Yarrowia lipolytica: one gene and its partners. The protein of the gene in region 1 purifies or fractionates together with the protein of each later gene. This does not show direct contact. Links are inferred from orthologs where the notes say so. Each region holds a gene or a part of one and is shown in the gene's direction. Other genes may lie near its edges.

Region 1 (8,191 bases):
ATCTATCACCACTCTCTTGCTTAGCCTCCCTCCCTCCCTCTCTCTCTGTTAGACCCCCACACGCTCAACAGTACTCAATATCCGCGCAGAAAAATAAGGTTGGTGGGACATTTCTCCGGTGTGAGCGATTAGTGGGTTGTGGTGGTGCCCATAGCAGACCTAAAATTGACTCTCCTCACTTGACAACACACAGATAGAACCTGCAACTTCATCCAAGTGGCGCTTTTCTCAATCCAGTCCGTGTGAAAACAAGACAATTGACCATGCTCACTGCCGCTCGACGATCTACACGGCTCACCAGCCGACTCGGCCACCAGGTCCGAGCATACTCCATCGCTGACGATGCCGACAAGGTGAGTATTTTTTTCGCCCATTGCGTTGGGGTGTCGTGGATTTGGGTTACAGGGAGTTTTTCCGAAACATACGCCTCACGAAACACGACGAAACGGACGACACAGACATGCCATCGACGCGGGACCCCTCGGAAATGATTCTACGGATGCCATTACCCCTGGCGGTGGCGTCTCGTTGACGCTGCTGAGATTGTTAATGAGAAACGGGCCTAGAGAAAATCGAACCTCTAGGAACGCATGCACCCGGAAAAATTATTCCTCACCCACCAGCAATCCATCACAAAACGTGGCAAAACAGCTTCAATCGACCGTATACTAACCCCAGAAATGCACAATCACGCTCAAGGAGGATTCTTACACCACCTACATGCTTGATTCTCCCCCTCCTCTCGAGTTCGAGATGACCAAGGGTGAGCTTCTGCAAATGTACAAGGACATGGTGACCGTCCGACGACTCGAGATGGCTGCTGATGCCCTCTACAAGGCCAAGAAGATCCGAGGTTTCTGCCATCTGTCTACTGGTCAGGAGGCTGTTGCCGTCGGTATCGAGAAGGCCATCGACCACGACGATTCTGTCATCACCGCCTACCGATGCCACGGTTTCGCCTACATGCGAGGTGCCTCTGTCCGAGCAATCATCGCCGAGCTGCTCGGAAAGCGAACCGGTGTCTCCTACGGTAAGGGTGGATCCATGCACATGTTCACCGAGGGTTTCTACGGAGGAAACGGTATTGTCGGAGCCCAGGTCCCCGTCGGAGCTGGTCTCGCCTTCGCCCACAAGTACCTCGAGCAGACCGGAAAGGCCACCTTTGCCCTGTACGGTGACGGTGCTTCCAACCAGGGTCAGATCTTCGAGGCCTACAACATGGCCAAGCTCTGGGACCTCCCCTGCATCTTTGCATGCGAGAACAACAAGTACGGAATGGGTACCGCTGCTGCTCGATCCTCTGCCCTGACGCAGTACTACAAGCGAGGTCAGTACATTCCCGGTCTCAAGGTTAACGGAATGGACATTCTGTCCGTCTACCAGGGAGCCAAGTTCGCCAAGGAGTGGACCACACACGGCAAGGGTCCCCTCGTCATGGAGTTCGAGACCTACCGATACGGTGGTCACTCCATGTCCGATCCCGGAACCACCTACCGAACCCGAGAGGAGATCCAGTACATGCGATCCCACAACGATCCTATTTCTGGTCTCAAGGCCCACATCCTGGAGCTTAACTTCGCCACTGAGGACGAGCTTAAGTCTGTGGACAAGGCTGCTCGAGCTATGGTTGACAAGGAGGTTGCCCTTGCTGAGTCCGACCCTGCTCCCGAGGCTACTGCCAAGGTTCTGTTTGAGGATATCTACGTTCCCGGCACCGAGCCTCCTGTGATCCGAGGCCGAATCCCTTCCGAGGACTACTACTTTAAGAACTAAGTAGAGTAGAATGTAATTACTAATGTACGAGCCGTCGTTTTCTGAGAATGAGTAGAAAGCAGGAGTACAGTACATAGATTGGGTGAGCTTGAAGTGATTGTGGAAAATGTTGCGAGAGAAACATGGTGAATAGTAAGTGAGAAAGAATTTATCCCATTTATTTTATCATTTTTTGCCCTTTTGAAGGCACGCACTCGGGCTAGTACAAGCATCTGTCGTAGAATCTGCAGTATATTCTACTTGTAAATTGACCCTGCTGCACTGTGGGCTCACCACCCAATTTTAACATCTTGTTATGCATATGGTTCAGAAAATAAGCACATCTACGCTGAAATAAATCCTTCACGCAACACCCACGACACCAAGCACATCATGTCGAACAACAATGACATGTCTCGTTACAAATAGTGAGTATTAGAGGGGATGGTGTGATATGACTCGGCTTTGTGTGACAAACGCCATTCTGGATCACTTACTAACTACAGCGAGGAGATGTCCTCTATTGTGGTGCAGGCCGATAGAAGGCACATCAACAGAGAGAGTGGCGAAGACAAGGCTATTCCCGAGTCTTTAGTGGGAAAGATCAACGTTAAGGATATGGGATCTGGTGTGCGACGGGAGGTTCCGGATGCTGGGGTTCGTCAACAGCAGGAAAAGATGGCACGCAAGGAACGAATGACTTCCAAGCCTACTTCGGTCTACTCTTCCAGCGGTTTGTACACTCCACAAATGCCTCAAACTCGTGAAGCGTTTGAGCTGCTCATGGCATGGACGGGGCGTGTTCTTGGGGATGTATCACACGAGACTATCTGTGCTGTTACGGACGAGTTGATCGCTACTCTACGAGACGAGAAGCTGCAGGACAAGCAGCGGCAAAAGGAGATAGAGAGCATTGTTGGAAAACTATCCAACACGGACTTCAACCAGGCCATGAGTTTGGCTGCTCGTCTTACTGACTATGCTGAGAATCAGGACGAGGAGATGGCTGACGATGGAGAGAGCGGAGTGGCTGTGGTTTTCGACGGAAGCGACGACGAGGACGCCATGGACCTTTCCGAAGATGATGAGGATTTGAGTGATATGGACGGCGATTACGTTCGACGTGTGCCTGTTGCTCAGAGGGAGGGCGAGGATGAGGAAGATATGGACGTGGAGCAGACTGTTGTGGAGGCTGCCAAGGAGTCCGATTCAGACGTAATCCCTGCTACAGAAATCGACTCGTTCTGGCTACAACGTGAAATTGCATCCCTAGTCGGTGGTGATCAACAGGAGAGTATTGATCTATCTCGTCGGGTGTTTGATATTCTTGCCGGGGAGTCTTCTCTGCGTGAGACTGAGAACGAACTGTCTGAGGCCTTTGATTTCGACCATCTCGACTTTGTCGCCAAGCTGTGTCATAACAGAGACCGCGTTGTTTGGATTACACGACTTCAGCGAGCCGATGGACCTGAGAAGGACACTGTGAAGAAGCAGATGACGTCTTTGGGACTGGCATCTCTCGTCTCTGAGCTACACGGTGAAACGGAGACTTCGGAAGATGTGGATATGGACGTCACAGAAGATGCTTCTCAGACTTACGTTCCCAGATACATTGATACACAGTCACTTGTGTTTGATCAGGGTGCTAGACTCCTGACATCTTCGAAGGTCAAGCTCCCAGCAAACACTACAAAACACAGCACCAGTCAGTACGAAGAGTTTGTCATTCCTGCTCCTGAAAGAGCTATCCCTGATGCTAATGAGAAGGTGGTATCAATCGCTGATATGCCTTCTTGGACACATGTTGGCTTTTCTGATACCAAGTCTCTCAATCGAATTCAGAGCAAGGTGTTCCCCTGTGCATTCGAATCTGACGACAACATGCTTATTTGTGCACCCACCGGTGCTGGTAAGACCAATGTTGCATTCCTGGCCATGCTGCGGTGCCTGTCTCATTTCAGAGCTCCCAATGGAGGCTTTAGAACCAATGACTTCAAGATGGTGTACATTGCCCCGCTCAAGGCTCTGGTCCAGGAGCAGGTCCGAGAGTTCAGCAAGCGACTCAACTCCATGGGATTGAAAGTGTCCGAGTTGACTGGTGATCATAATCTGACTAAGCAGCAGATTGCAGAGACTCAGCTGCTGGTGACCACGCCGGAAAAATGGGATGTCATCACCCGAAAGGCTGCCGATTCCAGCTACACCAACCTCGTCAGACTGATTGTTATTGATGAGATTCATTTGCTGCATGATGAGCGAGGACCTGTCCTTGAAAGCATTGTTGCGCGAACAACACGTCGGTCAGAGCAGACTGGAGACCCTGTTCGAATCGTTGGTCTCTCTGCCACGCTTCCCAACTTCAAGGATGTCGCATCGTTTCTTCGAGTTGGTGAGACAGGTCTTTTCTACTTTGATTCCACTTTTAGACCTTGTCCTCTGGGACAGCGGTTCCTTGGTATCACCGAGAAGAAAGCTTTCAAGCGATACACAGCCATGAACGACGCATGCTTCGACAAAGTGATTGAAAACATCAAGGCTGGACACCAGGTGATTGTCTTTGTGCACTCCCGAAAGGAGACCGCCAAGACAGCTCGAATGCTGCGAGATCGTGCCATGGACGAGGGCCTGCTGCCTCTTTTTTGTGCCTCTGATGGCAGTCGTCGAACTCTTGCAGAGCGTGCCCAAGATCCTGAACTCGATGCCACACAGAAAGAGATCATCGGAACTGGTCTCGCTACCCATCATGCTGGTCTTGCACAGGTTGACCGTAAGGCTGCGGAGGAGCTCTTTGCTGAGGGACATGTCCGTGTTTTGGTGTCTACTGCCACTCTGGCTTGGGGTGTCAATCTTCCCGCACATACCGTCATCATCAAGGGTACTCAAATTTACAATCCTGCCAAGGGTCAATGGACCGAGCTGTCTCCTCAGGACGTTCTCCAGATGCTTGGTCGTGCTGGTCGACCTCGATACGACGACTCTGGTGAAGGTATCATCATTACTACCCACGGGGAACTCAACTACTATCTGTCGCTGATGAACCAACAACTCCCTATTGAGTCTCAGCTTATGTCACGGCTGGAGGATTCTCTTAACGCAGAGGTTGTCGGTGGCACAGTTTCTTCGGTGGGTGATGGTATTCAGTGGCTAGGTTATACTTACCTCTACGTCCGAATGCTTGTTTCTCCTGGTATATACCTTGTTGGATCTAATCCCGATGATGCCGCTCTTACTAACCGACGTGCCGACCTCGTTCATTCGGCTCTCAGCAACCTGGCCAAGTCTGGTCTCGTCATCTACGACACCAAGACTGGCCGTGTGCGTGCCAACGATCTCGGTAGAGTGGCTGCACATTACTACATCACTCACTCGTCTATGCGAACATACCGAATTTCTCTCAAGCCCCATTTCTCCATTGTGGAGCTGTTCCAGGTGTTCTCCGCCTCTGAGGAGTTCAAATATGTGGGAGTTCGCCAAGAAGAGAAGCTAGAGTTGGGAAAGTTGCTGGAATCGGCACCCATCCCTGTTCGAGAGTCCGTTGAGGACTCCACTGCCAAGATCAACGTTCTTCTTCAGGCTTTCATTTCCCGACTGAGTCTCGAGGGCTTTGCACTGGTATCCGATATGATATACGTGACCCAAAGTGCCCAGCGTCTGTTCCGAGCCATCTATGAGTTCTGTCTGAGAAAGAAATGGGCTCGACTAGCCCGAATTACCCTTGACGTGTGCAAGATGGTTGAGCAGCGTCTGTGGCTATCCTCTTGTCCTCTCCGTCAGTTTCCTGACTGCCCTGCTGAGGTTGCCAAGAAAATTGAGGCTTCTGCTATGCCTTGGAAGCGGTACTTATCGCTGGAGAATGCAGAACAGGTTGGAGAAGCTATCCGAACTCCTCGATATGGCACTCCTGTGTTCCGAATGCTTCAGAAGTTCCCCCAGCTCAAGCTGTCTGCTCGCGCACTGCCCGTTACTGCCTCTCTCGTGCGACTGGAGATTGAGGTGGAGCCCAGTTTTGAGTGGGACGTTTCTATTCACCATGGTTCCGAGCCCTTTGCTCTGACTGTGGAAGACGGAGACGGTGAGAAGATTCTTTACTCGGACTCGTGGACCCTACGGCGAGATTACGCCACTGAGACTCACTTAATTGAGGTGTCTGTCACTGTTGCTGACCCCCGACCTCCTCATCTATTTGTGACTCTGTCTTCCGAGAGATGGTTGCACGCCGACGCTCGTCTGGCTGTGCCTTTGCGAAACATTGTCTTCCCAGGAAAGTTCCCAGCCCCTACTCAGCTTATTGATCTGCAGCCTGTCCCTGTTGTTGAGCTAAAGCGAGCCGATTGCGCCGGGCTCTACGACTTTTCTTTCTTCAACAAGATCCAATCGCAGCTGTTCAGACCTCTTGTGGAGGGCGACGGCTCCGTCTTTGTTGGAGCTCCTCCTGGGTCTGGTAAGACTGTTCTCGCCGAGCTGGCTCTACTGAGACTGTGGAATGAAGATGCTGATGCCAAGACTGTGTACATGGCTCCCACACAAGCCCAAGTTGATGCTCGCTACGATGATTGGAGTCAGCGAATGAACGAGATTCATGGAGGAAAGACCTTCTCAAAGCTGTCTGGTGAGCTTGCTGCTGACTTACGGAAGCTGGCCACCTCCGATGTGGTTTTGGCCACTCCTAACCAGTGGGATTCTTTGTCTCGACGGTGGCAGAAGCGAGCTGCTGTCAGAGCTGTAAGCCTGTTCATTGCCGACGACGTGCATCTGGTTGGCGGCGATGGTACCTACGAGACTGTCGTTTCTCGAATGAGATATATCGATGTACAGTTGCAGGAGAGTGGTGCTGGACGACCTCTTAGAATTGTCGGACTGGGTGTTCCTGTTGCCGATGGAGTAGATATGGCTGGATGGCTTGACGCCACTCCCTACAACTTCAAACCTTGGACTGCTTCTCCTACCAATATCCACATTCAGTCGTTGTCCATCCCTCATCACCCTTCTCTCATGCAGGCTTTCCTTCGACCTACATACAATGCCATTCTTGAGCTTGCTCCCCCCAAGCACTCCCAGACTGTGATCTTTGTGGACTCTCGTCGAACTCTTGTGGATGTGACCATTGGTCTTTCCACGATTGCGGACGAGCAAGTTCTGGTGCCTCCTGTTCCTGAGGACTCCAATTTGGAGCTTGCTATGGCACAGGTGACTGACAACACTCTCAAGGAGGCCATTCAGAGCGGTATTGGCCACCTCTACCCCAGCATGTCTTCCAGAGACCGTAAGATTGTGTTGGCACTGTATGCTGAGCAGTCCATCTCCACAATCATTGCTACCCGTGAGGAATGTTGGACCTCGCCTCGTTCTCAACTGAGTGTCATTCTTGGTACCCAGACCTACGAGGGATCTGAGCACCGATACGTCAACTACCCCATCTCTACGGTCTTGCAGATGATTGGACAGGCTTCCAACGACGCCCTGGTGCTGACTCCCGCTGCTGCCAAGGACTACTACCTGCGGTTCCTCAACGATTCTCTTCCTGTGGAATCCAACTTGGGAGCATCCCTACATGATGCTCTTTTGGCAGAGATCTGTGAGAAAGTGATAGAGTCCATGGATGACACTGTGGCCTGGTTAACCTACACGTACCTGTACCGACGCCTGCATGCCAATCCTGGTTTCTACGGTGTCCCTGACCGATCAGATGATGCTCTCAACGTCTATCTTTCTGAGCTCGCTGAGACTACTGTAGAACAGCTTGTTGAGGCAAAGATGGTCGAGATGGACGACGAGGGTGGATTGGAGCCTCTCAATGCTGCATCCATTGCATCCTACTACAACGTGTCTTTCGATACTATGGCTACTCTCACATCTGCCCTCTCTCCCAAGAGTAAGTATAGATCTATCTTGCAGGCTGTCACCACTGCAGCTGAGTTTGACTCTCTTCCCATCCGAAACCACGAGGACATTCTGTTGAGACGTCTTTATGGCCACATCCCCTGGAAGCTTCCCGAGCTGGACTCTGCTGTTCTTCTCACTCCTGCTTTCAAGGCCTTTGTGCTGGCTCAATGTCATATTGCTCGGCTGAATCTCCCTTCGGAGTTGACTGCTGATCAGGCCGAGGTTGTCCAGCTGCTGCCTACCCTGCTGGCTGCCTCTGTTGATCTTCTGGCTTCTGAGGGCCATCAATCATGCATGTACGCAATGGACCTGTCCCAAATGGTTGTTCAAGCTACTCTTGAGTCTGATTCGCCTCTGCGACAGGTGCCTTTTTTCACTCCCGAAATCATCGACGATCTCAGGGGGGCGGGGGTTGAGGCAGTCGGAGACATTTCCGAGCTGGACGAGGACAAGCTCAAGGGCATTCTCAACTTTACTGCGAAGCAACTCAAGCGTGTCATTGACTTTGTGGACGCCTACCCAAGTATTCAGCTCAGCTATGAGCTTGCTGACTCTT
Region 2 (3,948 bases), on another chromosome or scaffold:
AGAAAGGCCTGAACCATTCGGCGCAATGGTGGGCATTTCGGTACCGGTAATAGAGCGAGTGGATGATCTCAGCCTCGCTCAGGAATTCGGACACCTGTAGGCCTAGTCCTGCGTTTTCCGTAGTTTTTTGAAGCTCAGCTTTGTATGCCTTTTTCGGGAACGGCGCCTCCCGGTGCTGGTCAGCATATACCGATAACATGACGTATGGTGTTGTGTCAGACTCCCAGACGACACCCAGAAATAATTATTCCTGTCCTGCATTTTCGAACTTTCATGGTGTGAGTGAGTGAAGCAGCTGGGGTGGACAATGTGGACAACACAACAAACGGTACAAGAGACAGGAGTATCGTAGAGTCAATATTCCTATATTGCAAAGGGACTCTTTTGTCAGGCTCCCAATTATTATTAATATTCTTTCATAGTTGTAGCTTTATGGTACGAATGCACTTCATAAAGTCTGGTGTTCCACGACCACAAATATTATAACCAACATCTGGACACGCTATCGCTACACTACGAGTACCAGTGGCGCTACTTGTACTTGCATCGAAATCATCAAAACCTATCATTCAGTGTGTCAAGTTTAGTTACAAAATATCTATATACAATTATCTTCCGACGTTGAGAAGAAGAGAGTTGCCAGAGGAAGCGCCATTGGATCCGTTGCCTCCCTTGGGCAGGTAAGTGACGTTGTTGGACTGGGCAAGAGTGGTGGCAATCTCCTTGGAGGCCTCGATTCGTCGAATCAAGAGCAGACCATCACCGGCCTTCTCAAGAGCCTTGGAAATGGCCTCGGCGGACTCGGCTTCTCCCTCAGCTCGGATAACGGCGGCTTGTCGCTCCTGCTCGGCCTTCTCGACGATGAATCGGGCTCGCTCGGCATCCTGCTGGGCAATTTGCTTCTGCTCAACGGCCTTGGTGAACTCCTTTCCGAAGGTCATGTGGGTAATGGAGACATCCTCGAGGGCAATGTTGAACTCACCGGCTCGCTTGACAAGATCCTCTCGAATTCGGGCGGAAACAACCTCTCGCTGGGTAATGAGCTCGGCGGCATCGAATTGAGCGACAATAGACTTGAGCACCTCGTTACCAATGGAGGGCAGGACTCGCTCGTCGTAGTCGAGACCAAGAGACTGGTAGATGTGGGGAAGCTGGGAAATGACGGGTCGGTGCAGAACTCGCAGGGTCAGAGAAACCATCTGCAGATCCTTGGATCCGGTGGTGGTGGCGATGTTTCGGGGCTTGGTTCGGACATCGAAGATAATGTCCTTCTGGAGCCAGGGAACGAGGAAGTGGGTTCCCTCTCCGATCACGTTCTGCTTGACACCGGCAAGACGGTCGAAGATGACAGCTCGGTAGCCACCACGAACGTCGTACATGGCGGACTGCATCAAGGTGATGCCAACACCGACAGGAATGGCGATGGCTGGGTTAGTATGGGGTCTCGAGATTGCGTGTTGCTGTGGATGTGCGGTGCGGCACCCCCACGCCAAGTTGGCAAACATGCCATTGTTTGGTGTCAGGATATTCGCAATGGCACATTGAACTTATGTATGGACTCATCTTCCCTTTCCAGCCTTTCAATACTCACTTGTAAGGACTCCCAATAATCTGTTGGACATGGTTGCGGTGGGGAGAAAGAGGAAATGGTGTAAAAGTTTATGTGGACGCCTCCCAGTTCAAGAGCACAACGATAATTAGGGGAGGGTTACAGTAACCGAAAACGAGGCTCAGGGGGAGTAATATCTGGAGTGTGAAAGAAGAATTGTTTCATTTTTGAAGCAGAGTTGAATCTGGCCAATCATATTTCGTTTATCCAGTTTCCAACTTGTTCCCCTGCTCACACCACTCATAACCTGTACAAGGCTATCTGAATAACTTGCATGAACATTTCAGCCGTCATAATCAGAGACTACAAGGAACTTGTAATCCACACATGCCTGTCGCCAAAGACCTGTTTCCAGAGTATGGTACTCTCGCGACCGGCGAAAATGAACCCTCTCGAAATATCCGACGTGCTCAAAAACTCAGGGAGTTCCAGAACCTCGAACTTCCACCATACCTAGCAAAGCAGGTGGCTGCCAAAATGGCAGAGAAGGGTTTGGCAGTGGAAGCCACAGGAGGTGTGGCAGTCCAGCGAATCGCAGGAGGATCTCAGAGCGGCCAGAAGGCTCTGATGGGAGCTTCTTCCTCGGCACTCACGAAACACACGCCCTCTGCAAGCCAACCAACTACACACGACAGTCTCACTAATCTCGGAGCCAACCTTACACAGTCGAAACCGGCGTGGCACGCACCATGGGAGATCTACAGAGTCATTACAGGCCATCAGGGCTGGGTGAGATCTGTTTGTGTTGAACCAGAGAACCAGTGGTTTGCTACAGGTTCTGCAGACAAGACTATCAAGATCTGGGATCTGGCTACAGGAAAATTGCGACTGACTCTCACAGGACACATTATGGGTGTTAGAGCATTGGGAGTGTCGCCACGACATCCTTACATGTTTTCGGGAGGTGAAGACAAGATGGTCAAGTGTTGGGATCTGGAAACTAACAAGGTCGTTCGACACTACCATGGCCATCTCTCTGCAGTCTACTCGCTGGACATTCATCCTACTCTGGATGTCCTAGTGTCTGCTGGTCGAGACGCTGTGGCCCGTGTGTGGGACATTCGTACTCGTGACCCTGTGGTTGTTCTCAGTGGACACAAGTCGACTATCAACAGAGTCAAGTTCCAGGCCTCTGAACCCCAGGTGATTACAGCTTCGGCAGATGAGACTGTGCGACTGTGGAACCTACAGGCCGGGAAGACCATGACAACGCTCACGCATCACAAGAAGAGTGTGCGAGGCCTCACTTTACATCCCGAGGAGTTCACTTTCTCCACGGCCTCTGCTAACTCCAGTAAGCAATGGAAGTGTCCCGAGGGCGATCTAGTGCTCAACTACGACGACCAGAACGCTATCATCAATACCCTGTCCGTTAACCAAGACAACGTCATGTTTTCGGGAGGCGACAACGGCTCTATTGGCTTTTATGACTGGAAGACTGGACATATGTTCCAGAGCACCCAGTCTATTCCCATCCCAGGATCTATCGAGAGTGAAAACGGTATTTTCGACTCCAGTTTCGACAAGACTGGTCTTCGCCTCATCACCTGTGAGGCTGACAAGAGCATCAAAATGTGGCGCGAGAAGCCCAATGCCACAGCAGAAAGTGATCCCGGTCTCGAATGGAAACCCAAGATATACCAGACCTATTAGAGGGATGGTGTATCAGAATTTCGCATATTTAATGTATTTTTAGTTACAAGTACAATTGTATTGGTTGGCGTTGTCATTCTTTTGTTTTGCTTTCCCTCCTTTTCAGCCTTCGCTCTACTTGTAGGCCAGTGGTACCAATACAGGCACAGTATATGGACCCAATTCCAGAACCATACTTATACAATTTTCATTTTTTTCCGGAAACATAAAAATGGATGGTCTCCAAATAAAAATGAAATAACAACTACATGTACATTGTACTTGTACAGTTGGATATATGTGTGTTTCACCAATATAATCGCAGATTTAATAACTGAATAATATCATATAACAAGACGATATTTCGTAAATTCCCCCCTACAGTAACTGGCACATTCCTGTCTCTATTAAGGTGGCTGTACTCATCTCCCAACATCACGTGACCATAACTATTTTCAGTTTATCAAAATTTTGTCGCCACCCGAACATCAACGAGCAATAGCGCGACGAAGCTATATAACACCCAGGCAGTTTACTGTCGCTCACAACACCTCCAAAGATGGCTCTCGCAGAAGCAGACTTGCCCAACGGCAAAACCAACGGCAAAGCCTCGGGGTCCGAGGAGACTCCTGCGCCCGTTCAGAAGGTCGACATGAACGTGGCAATCAACGAGCTCCGTGTGGGCTGCAAAGTCCACGTCGAGAAAG
Region 3 (2,700 bases), on another chromosome or scaffold:
AACACACTACAAGGAACTAACACAAGATTGTTATAATTATATATATACTCCAGTAGAAAGCCACGATATGATAAGATAGCGCAGAAGCCACTGGATGTTAAAGGTGCTGCCGTATACATGATTCTCTGCCTCGCTTAAGCGGTCAGTCCAGTATTACGTATGTGCAGCACTTCCGCGCTGTAGGGTAATTAACACACGACCATCGTCACCTCGCTCATAATAATGGTTTGTCCACAAGAGCAATATATCGCCTATACACCCAACGAGAAAACGGTTCAACACGCACACTAATTGTATTAACGCGCCCCAGACCTGTCAGTGTTCCCTAGACACCACACAAAACCAAACCGCCGACGAAAACTACCGCTCTTATCATGAATATCATAACTTATAATATGTAAGGTCAGAATGAGTTGTTGTGTGCCATACATTTCTCTGACCGAATTAATGGATGCCAGACTCACGTCGTCCTTCCACGGGTAAAAACGTCATGCCAAAACCATGCCCTTCATTTCAGTTCCTCCTTGGTCAATCTCCTTAGTTGTACGACAGATCAAAGTACAGATCATTCCACACAACACCGGGAGGGTATTTGCAATCGCTCTTGCCCTGATTGGTGAACCCCAGCTTCTCGTAGAAGGGTGCGTTCTCGTCTGTGGCAATGAGCGCGATTCGGCTGGCCACGCCGTTGGTGGAGATTCGCTGCACATAGTCATTCATCAGGATCGATCCGATGGACTTGCCCTGGTACTCGGGGTCCACACAAACAGCATGGACGCCCACGGTGTTTCCGTCCTCCTTGTGTCCGTTCTCCTCGTCGTCAGGGCCCTCCGGGATGCCCATGGAGCCCTTGGTGATCAGGTCTGACCGCATCTTTGTGGCCAGAATCACCGCCACCAGCTTCTCGCTAATCACAGAGGTTGTAGGATGAGGCAGCTGGTCGTCCTCACCGTCGCTGTTCTTGGCTTTGTCCTTGGCGTCGTAACTTCTGATAAATAGACCCAGACACAGCTCGGGGCATGCCTGGAGTCGATACAGCACCTTTTCTCTCGTCGCTGACTGGTCCGGAGGGAAGGCCTTATCTGAGACCTCGACAATGGCATCCACATCCTGTACTGCCAGAGGTCGGATGGCCGAGTGTGGGGGGAGCGTTTTAGTCATTTGATGCGTTTTGTGCGAACGGTGATTTGGATGGTGTTATGATGTATTGGAGTGTGGGCTTGCCAGCGAGAAGGAAAATCGAAACCCAAACAAGGTTGAGGAGATGCGGGATGGTGAAGTTGGTGTAGCGTGAGATGACAGTGCTCAGAAAGCGTCCCAGAGTATGCAAGGGTGTGATTTTTTGAGGGGAAACAGCTTAAGGGTTCATATATATACTCCCAGGCTTTTTTACTGTCACCAAAGCTAACGTGATTTCTGTGTTTAGTCACCTCTGCTGCTGGATGTACGTCAGAATAGAGAGTTAATAGGCACGAGAGCAAGAGGGTGGAAACACAACAGATTGATAAACACAATGGAGAGAGCTTGGCTTTTGACGTTAGAGTGTCTAGAGGGGTAAATATTACAGAAAAAATATATATCTGTGGGTATTTTGGTCTGTTATCCTGCCCAAACTCGAAGTCCACCTTTTATCGTTCCGTGTCGACTGTACCCCTCTGATCACGTGACCATAAGCCATGCACAACACTTTAATCAAAAACCACACCAGCATCAAACAACAGTCTCCGAACACACAACATCACACACAATGAGCGAGCAAGCTGAGCCCCAGGTATCGCAAATTCTGCCTCTGGAGCTGGTCGACAAGTGCATAGGATCCAAGATTCTGGTGCTGGTCAAGTCCAAGGTCGAGTTCACTGGCACTCTGGTCGGATTCGACGATTTCGTCAACATGGTGCTGGAGGACGTGACCGAGGTCAACACAAAAACTGGCAAGGAGACCAATCACAGCAAGCTGTTGTTGAGTGGAAAGAGCATCTACATGGTGAGTGAAGTTGGGGATATTTATGGCTGATCAGATAGGGAAGGAAGTCACGAGAAGATTAACTAACACAGCTTGTCCCTGGAGGACTTTAAGTGTATTATAGGATAATGATATTGGATGATTGGATTATGGTGGTTGCTACGATGTCGTGGTGGTGGTTTGATGGCGTGGTAAGCTTGATAGGCTGGATTGTAGTGGCGAAGCTGGACCGAGATCAGGTGTATAGTATGGGGGTTTGATTCGAGGAACTGAGTTGCTGTGGAACAATGCGCAGTGCCAGAGATGCAGGCTGCTTCCTTTCAACACTCTTGTAGCTTGCTTAGAATCTCACTCCACATAGCAGGTGAGATCAGATTAACTAGGCTCTGGTTTATGAACGAGATCATACAAGTAACTGATAGTTCGCAAAGAGATCAAGCTATCTTTACTAAGGAGTCGCAATCTTTTCATACATACAGAGAATAAAAATACATTGTAAAGTACCTACTGTTGATGTCTGATCTGTCGTCAATTTGGGTTCCTATCATTCTGTGTTCACTTCTTATCCAGAATTGCAGTATTGACATCACTGATCTTCCACAGAATTAGCATCATTACTGAACGGTAAGGAGCAAACCGATGGGCCACCCAGGTCATTTCATCTGCTGTGGGCACCCTCCATTTACCCTTTGTATCTGGCTTTGACTTGGCTGCTTTTCGAGCGCCAGCCTTTTTAG

The links. The genes of interacting proteins can lie anywhere in the genome.
Region 2: the proteins of YALI1_F27574g (region 1) and YALI1_E05664g purify together in Saccharomyces cerevisiae (affinity purification with mass spectrometry; 3 studies listed by BioGRID). This does not show direct contact. The link is inferred for Yarrowia lipolytica from reciprocal best matches to the Saccharomyces cerevisiae genes BRR2 and PRP46.
Region 3: the proteins of YALI1_F27574g (region 1) and YALI1_B18613g purify together in Saccharomyces cerevisiae (affinity purification with mass spectrometry; 6 studies listed by BioGRID, with this or other methods). This does not show direct contact. The link is inferred for Yarrowia lipolytica from reciprocal best matches to the Saccharomyces cerevisiae genes BRR2 and LSM5.

Annotation. Positions count from the first base shown.
Region 1 is NC_090775.1:2,755,352-2,763,542, forward strand, and holds the start of YALI1_F27574g (uncharacterized protein), read left to right. Parts: upstream 1-2,145; coding exon 2,146-2,180; intron 2,181-2,258; coding exon 2,259-8,191. Other genes in the region: YALI1_F27556g (uncharacterized protein), read left to right, coding at 264-353, 679-1,773.
Region 2 is NC_090774.1:564,401-568,348, reverse strand, and holds YALI1_E05664g (uncharacterized protein), read left to right. Parts: upstream 1-1,936; coding exon 1,937-3,262; downstream 3,263-3,948. Other genes in the region: YALI1_E05681g (uncharacterized protein), read right to left, coding at 1-199; YALI1_E05668g (uncharacterized protein), read right to left, coding at 609-1,505; YALI1_E05645g (uncharacterized protein), read left to right, coding at 3,801-3,948. UniProt on the Saccharomyces cerevisiae protein: Involved in pre-mRNA splicing. May also be required for cell cycle progression at G2/M.
Region 3 is NC_090771.1:1,859,564-1,862,263, forward strand, and holds YALI1_B18613g (uncharacterized protein), read left to right. Parts: upstream 1-1,747; coding exon 1,748-2,014; downstream 2,015-2,700. Other genes in the region: YALI1_B18607g (uncharacterized protein), read right to left, coding at 538-1,161; YALI1_B18631g (uncharacterized protein), read right to left, coding at 2,519-2,700. UniProt on the Saccharomyces cerevisiae protein: Component of LSm protein complexes, which are involved in RNA processing and may function in a chaperone-like manner. Component of the cytoplasmic LSM1-LSM7 complex which is involved in mRNA degradation by activating the decapping step.